Styela clava: one gene and its partner. The protein of the gene in region 1 interacts with the protein of each later gene in a pairwise test. Links are inferred from orthologs where the notes say so. Each region holds a gene or a part of one and is shown in the gene's direction. Other genes may lie near its edges.

What was found.
Region 2: the proteins of protein LTV1 homolog (region 1) and small ribosomal subunit protein uS3-like interact in a two-hybrid assay, tested with the Caenorhabditis elegans proteins (2 studies listed by BioGRID). The link is inferred for Styela clava from reciprocal best matches to the Caenorhabditis elegans genes T23D8.3 and rps-3.

Annotation. Positions count from the first base shown.
Region 1 is NC_135257.1:4,847,515-4,851,276, forward strand, and holds the start of protein LTV1 homolog, read left to right. Parts: upstream 1-1,474; 5' UTR 1,475-1,548; coding exon 1,549-1,551; intron 1,552-1,859; coding exon 1,860-1,924; intron 1,925-2,172; coding exon 2,173-2,269; intron 2,270-3,762. Other genes in the region: uncharacterized protein LOC120346059, read left to right, coding at 274-807.
Region 2 is NC_135263.1:1,582,762-1,586,523, forward strand, and holds the start of small ribosomal subunit protein uS3-like, read left to right. Parts: upstream 1-1,256; 5' UTR 1,257-1,358; coding exon 1,359-1,388; intron 1,389-1,984; coding exon 1,985-2,115; intron 2,116-3,308; coding exon 3,309-3,402; intron 3,403-3,762. Other genes in the region: small integral membrane protein 20-like, read right to left, coding at 266-431.

The DNA of each region.
Region 1 (3,762 bases):
CATAATGACTAGTCGCTAATGGTTATCTTCGCCACCGCCAAATTTCATGCACATGGAACAATTATCTGTTCAATTTTTTCCTGCTGAATTGTCATAGTAATACTGCTAATTTTCGCTTTCTTGAGGGTAAATATTACTTAAGTCTGAAAGTTCATTAGATCTTGTATGTTGTTATGTGTGCCGAAATATTAAACAGTTTATCTATTCTTGTTAATTCAGCCTTGAATATTATAATGTTACTATCCCTCTATTTCAGGTTTGATATTCGATAGGATGGCTATGCTTCGTGTTGCATATGCCACAGTTTTTCGTAGTAGAGTTTTATTATTTACTCAACCACCTGTTTTTAACTTTTCTCAACAACAATCATGGATTCATTTAAATAAAAGTGTTCAGCAAAAATTTGAAGAATTTGAATCAGAAGAAAGGATTGACAAACTCGAAATCAAACAGATTAAAAATAAGGGGCAAAGCCCAGAAGATCCAATTCTTGTTGCATCTCCAACAGAAAAATGCATTGTGGGATGTACCTGCTCACCTGATGCTTGTACAGTGAACTGGTTTTATGTCAATGAAGGCGATCCTCAAACCTGTGATTGTGGATATTTTTTCAAACTAGTAAAAGTTGATCCAAAAGTTGAAGCAGTTCCTGAATATTCACGAATTATGTATGTTGATGATAAAAAAGATGACATTCGAAGTCAAGACAGAGGACCATCATTTTTGAAAAGAATATTTTCTAAAACTTCAAAAAATGTTTCACCACCCGCGTCAATGTCTTCTATAAAGAACAAACAAAATTTGTAACCCCTTCCCTCTAATAATAAATTTCTTCATAGTAAGCACATTAATTTTGGCGCACATAAACAGGGATGTCCAAAGCGAATCAAATAGTTGCTTTGGAATAATTTAGAGATTAATATGAATCTTTTTCTTTGCTCTTAGTTCGTTTTCAGTTTGGTATTGCATTGAGTTGACAAAAATTGTTTACTGATTACATCGAGGCTTATATTAAGTCTTCAAAAAATAGTAATTATTCATTGAATTTATCACTGAATAAGTATCTAAATATGGAATGAAAAGTACGAGTATTCCAGCTCCTGTATCTTACAGATATTGGGTAGCCAAATATTTTTGTATCAGATATAATATAGCATTCGTTACTCTATTTACCGCAGAATAACGCACTGTTATTATTGTTGTCTTACAATTGAATATCACCATGTTGATAAAATTACATGGCTTGTTTAATATGCATGCATTCATAATGTTTGGTTGTTGAATATTTTGTTTTTGATTATTATCAAAGAGGGTTTTACAAGAATATTTGGTTGTATTTTGATGCTGGTGCTTTTAATATAGCAATTCGGTAAAATATCATTTAATAATTTTTGTAAACTTTGATTATAAAGGATATGATAAGCATAATATGTGTCCGACATTGAATAACAGGCTTTTTGGTATTTTTATTTATAGACTGTAATATCTAGATTTCATTTACATACATATTAAACACTTCTTGTTTGACTGATATAGGCATTCTACAACATGGTAAGCACTTCCTATCACAGATTTCTTCGAGAAGTATTGCGTATTATTTGAAACTGAATATTGAATGTGTTATAAATTGGATTGTATTCAACAAAAGATTTGAAAATCTATATATTTACAGATGTTACAAATTTTTATACTGTAGAAAATCAGAACTAGACATTTTTCTTTAAATGAAAATATTCATAGTATTTCACAGTTTCACTTATTTTTGTCTAGTATGTAATATTGAGTGTTCAATCTGAAATTTCCCACCTGTTGTTTCCTATTATTTTTTGGGAAATATAAATATATTTTACACTTTTTAGCCTCATAAAACAAAGAGAAAGTTCATTGATAAGAAAAAGGCATTCACGTTTCAACTTGTCCACAGGTAACAAACTTGAATCATTCATATTATAGCTACCAAATCTAATAAGGAGAATAGTGTAGTATACACTATGACTCAATAAAATTTTTGATTTAAAAAATTGTTACACAGTTATAATATTGTATTCCAAATTGTTATAAAGTGAAGTTATTGTTTTTGACTTCCTATATTTTGCTCTGTGATTTAGTAATATTCTTTTGAAATTGTAAATATTTATTTGTTTTCCTGCTCTCATCCATTATATTTTTCAGGAGTCAGAAAGATCCTCTGGCTGCAGATGATGAAGCACCTCAACGTGTTCTTGTACCGCTGGATGAATCAATTTCACAGCATGAAAATATACAAGAAGTAGGCAATAGTTGAGAACTTTTAATAATACCTATAAGTTTTCTTGAATTTTTGAAGGCTTGAAATATATTGGAAACAGTGTTAACTCTAAGCGAATTATGAGTGCGAAAGTGCTTGGCAGTCGAAAAAAAAAGTGCGAAAGTGCTTTTGCCGATTTTAACAAGTTAGGTGCCCTAGCCTTTCATATAACCCATTTAAAACGACATAGATACTCGAAAAAGCGCTCCTCCGGTTAATATTATGAATTAAAGAGAAGCCTTTCCGTTAACAGAGTTCCCTTTAAGCGAATTCATGTTTAATTAAAACAAGCGAATTCATCGGCAACGAAAGGACATCTGCTAACACCTGCCGGGGACAAAACTTTCATGCAATGTATCACGGTGTCAGTTGCTTACTCGCATGAACAGCAAAGGCTTTCACATTTGTTACTCCTTCCATCTAACAGACACGAGGCAGGCTGGAAACCATATTAGTTACAGGGTGGATCGTTTGTACAAATCCCGTGCAAAATAATTTCCCCCTCCCCCCCCAAAATATAAATAGCATTCAACTAATTAGGGTTAGGTGCGCTGGAAAATCAACTTTCCGATTATCACTAAACCTAATCTGATAATTATTAATTTGTGATTTTGAACCACTTTGAAAGTCGCCACCCGCTGTTTTAAAAGATAGGTTAACCTACGTTCCCTCCGGAATATTACGCAGGATACTCCCCTGTTTTAGGAGATAGGTTGACCTACTTTCCTTTCAAACTTTTTTCTTCGAAATATTACACAAGATCACTTTGAAAATCCTCCCGTTTCGTGAGCTAGCGTGACCTAATTTATCATTTACATTCATATTATACTATTTCAGAGCTTACCCAAAGACAAGTAATTTTTAAATGTTGACATGCTTTGGTTTGCGTGCGAGTTAGTTTAAATCGGGCAGAAAACATCATATATTGGCAAAATGTTTAGGAATGCCATGTACTTTAAGTATTCATAAATAGCACTCTTTGTAATGCTGCTGACCTAGTATCAAATATTCGCATCACAACGCCACTTGCGAGGTTTCCATAAATTTCAAATACACTAATAGGAACGATGACACCAAAGAGTTTTCTTTTGCGGAGGTACACGAAATATAACGAGGGTGATTCTTGAAAAAAACATGAATATAAAAAATAAACGAATGATATGATAGTGGATCCCAAATAATTTTGAGAGTGTCTCGAAATACCAATCCATTTGATAAATAATTTTTATTCGACCACATGAACGCTGATATCCTGAAAATTAATGTTGAAAGATAAGTACGCATTCTCAGATATCGGACATCCAGTCGCGATATTCAATCGTTCATATGCACAAATCTCACATTAATAGTAATTGCTACCCAAGTTTGTAAAGTTTAGAAACCAACAAACAGAAAATAACTTATACTAAAACACAATTAAAATTTAGTCGGCAATAAATTCGTCGCCAAGACCATGCCATACAATACAAAAAAGA
Region 2 (3,762 bases), on another chromosome or scaffold:
ACACGTATCCTTGGTCACATGACGACAGATTCAAGCTGCAATTGATTAAGTTATGAAAAGCACAGCATCATCCTCCTGCCATCGTGCCAGACGACCTTGCTATATTTAACCAAACTTCAGGACATCTTGGAAACCAAATTTTAGCTTCAAAAACTATGCCATATCGGCATATGCAAGCCTTAATTAAAAAACAAGCAGGCATGAGTCAATAAATCTAGTCGAAATAAAAGACATAGCCTAACAGTACTGGCAAAACTCAACTTACGATAAGCTTTCGAATTATACAGCGGGTAAATGTAGATCGGTCCAAAAGCTGCTCCAAGAAATACTACAAACGCGGCGATTAACCGATAATTCCTCGGATTTTTCACGTTCTTCAAATTTGGTCTTTCTTTTAGTTGTTGAAGTAAGAAATTCCTGACGAAAACCATCGCTCGGAAGCCAGAAAACTCCGAAGTTCTTCGCTAACTCAACTGAAAATTTTGCAACAAATGAACTTTTGTCCTCTGGCGATAGGGTTCAATGAACAGCTACATAATTCTAACTGTACATCTTTCGCGATCATGAGAAAAATTTAATTTGAAAATATCGGAATACAGATATTTTCAAATTGATATTTCAATATAAATTAAAAAAAGTAATGTATATTAAACAGCTTTGTTTATGAACCGCTCCTTTTTTTACTTCATTTTATGCTTTTATATTTTTTGTATCCGTCAGTTTATTGTTCCAATCCAACGACTAACATACCGTTCCAATCTGTGTACTTACCATACCACTATTAGCGTATTTTTCGACATAAGATAGATAAAATAAAATATAAATAATTGTTTTTATATGTTCAGTATGTAGAAAGAAAGATAGATTCGTTGATTTGTCAACCAAATACAAATAAATAAAAGACATACAATAAATAGAGAATATTTTTGTTACGGACTCGAGGGAGCGATGAAACGTCATCAATGACTTTGATTTGCTTGTAAATGCTTTATGCAACCAGTTATTTTGCTACAGTACTAAATATCAAATATAAACCTATTAAACATAATTATAAAAAAAGAATAAAATGAGTTCAAGTTTGAAAAATTAGAAAGAAATTCAATATTTGCTTGGTAATATAACAAATTAACATTATGAGAATTGTTGTCCCTCAGTATTACAGAATTCTGCAATAGCTCACATATTTATTAATAATAACAAAATGTACAATATAGAATGATGAATTTTATTAAATTTCTTTCTCTTCCTCTCTTTCTAAATTTTCTTCAAACCAATGACCCAAAACGTGAGAATTTTTATGGAAACTCAGACGCGTCCTCCAGTGGTTCGCTCTTCCGTCCTTTTCCGAACTTGCGACGATGGCTACACAAGTCTCTAAGAAGCGCAAGGTATTTTGGTTAGTTTTTAGGAATTTATTCAACTATTTGCTTCGTATTTTTATAATTTTGTATACCTTATTACCTAGTTGATACATATTTTGTAAATTTACGATTTGTAGTGATTCAGTTATCTCGATGTATTTGGATAAAAATGAGATACTTCATCCTCGCTTGCTTTCGCGCGCACGCTTATAGCTATCAATGTAATGGATTCATCTGCAGTGTGGCAATGATGACTAAACTTAGGACACCGAAATACTTCTTGAATGATTAGAATTAAGTTACTCTAGCTGAGCCACACTACCAATAAGAATTTTGCACTTCTGGTTGATACTTGTTTTAAAAAAAAAAATTGGGTTAAATTCATAAGTCTCTTGAAATTTCGCATGAGGTATTGAATGAAAACGTAGCTAAGCTAAACAAATACCGTCTAAAACAGCTCTGAACAGAAAGCTTGACTCAACAGGGAAACTCATTTTCTCTAGTTTCATCTAGCAAATAAATTTGGGATCCAGTTAAAATTATAATATTTAATCTTAAACTGACCGTGATTAAATCCTGCTTACTTTGACTAAACTAAATAATATCAACCTCATTTTTTTAAGTTCGTTCGCGATGGCCTATTCAAGGCTGAATTGAATCAATTGTTATGGAAAGAGTTGGCAGAGGATGGTTACAGTGGGGTCGAAGTTCGTGTCACTCCATCTCGTACTGAGATCATCATCATGGCCACAAGGTGATGCATTGTTTTCCGAAGCTTCAAGCTGACTTTTTATTTCTTAGATGTTTTTTCCTTGGATCTCGTGTAGTTCCTGTAGAGATTTGAGTCTCGTGAAGCAAACGCCGTAATTGCTTAAATAACGCTAAACAAAAATGTAATGTGAAAATACATCCCAAATTTTCATTTTTTCTTCTTAAAATAAAAGTCAGTCTTGCCCGAGCGCAATACGGTTGCGCGCATGGGACAAACTGGAGGCAGACAACTCGACTCACAAGAGGACAGATAGGTCGTCCACCTTTCCGACGGCGACGTTTTAAAACCGTACGGGTGTAATTTCGATCTTTTCACATTAAAATTCCACATCACATTTTTGTTGGGTGTTATTTGAGCATTTACAGCGTTCTTTTCACATCACAATTTTGTTAGGCGTTATTTAAGCAAGTAAGTCGTTTACTTCACCAGAACACTGGATTTCATGTCCATTATCTACCAGAAATCTGGCATGCAAATCCAGTAGTTCCAGTGTGCAATCAGTGACTACGGCACGCTTATCGTCCCGAGCCTGCGTTCGAACCTACTGACATCGCGTGAAAATCTAGATTCTTAGTGCAAAACTAACAGAATAGCCTTAATAATCATGTGTAAAATTATTGAAATTGAACAACCAAAATTTTTGTGCTTTAAACTATTTAAAAAGCTGATGTTAAATGAAGGTGTGCCCCACGATTTCACTTAGTTATTTGTATCTGGCCCGAGTGTATTAAAGGTTTCTTGCAGACCTCGGTCTTCAGTATGCACCACAGCAATGATGACTAAACTTAGGACACCGAAATACTTCTTGAATGATTAAAATCATGTTACTCTACCTGAGCTGTTGGTGTATACTGTAATTTATGTTAAAATCTATAATGCCCAAAATCTGGGTTGTTTAGAGTGTCCCATACAATGATTCCAACGTGAAACGATTCTTGAATAATTACATTGGATGGTGTAGGCAAAAATATGCTTGCTCTAACCACTATTGATGTCCAAATTAGCATATTTATCAAATAAATGGTAAACTGGCATTAAACCTAATTTGATATAGTTTTAGTGGCTCGTGGTATTTTAACTTTGCTCATAGATTGGTCTACTTCTGAATGTTTTTTAGCAAAATGCCACATTCCCTTTTGAACAACTGCCAAAAATCACAATTTCTAATATTTCAGAACACAGAATGTTCTTGGCGAGAAGGGTCGCAGAATCCGTGAGCTCACAGCCATGGTTCAGAAAAGATTCAACTTTCCTGACGGAACTGTAGAGGTATAAGTTTACTTCATTGTTTTTTTTTACTCTGGACAAGGCTCTTAACCAGCGGTCTTACTACTTACTGAATACAGCGCGAAACACCGCAAAGAGCGCGAAACAGAGGGAAAGAGCGCAAAACAGGGAAACAGTGTGAAGCAGAAAAAAATTTTGCAATGAGTTCGGGGCACTTTGTTTTGAGTTGGATTACCACGGCAGCAAATTAAAAACACAAACCAACGTATGTAGCCAGTTATGCTGTAATGGCAGGTCTGCCCCTGCTGGTGACACATTTTGGGTACCATAATTTAGAACATTTTCCATGTGGATATGGTTGGCTTTAGGGTTAGGTGAAAAGGGACCTCCAGAAGTATGTGC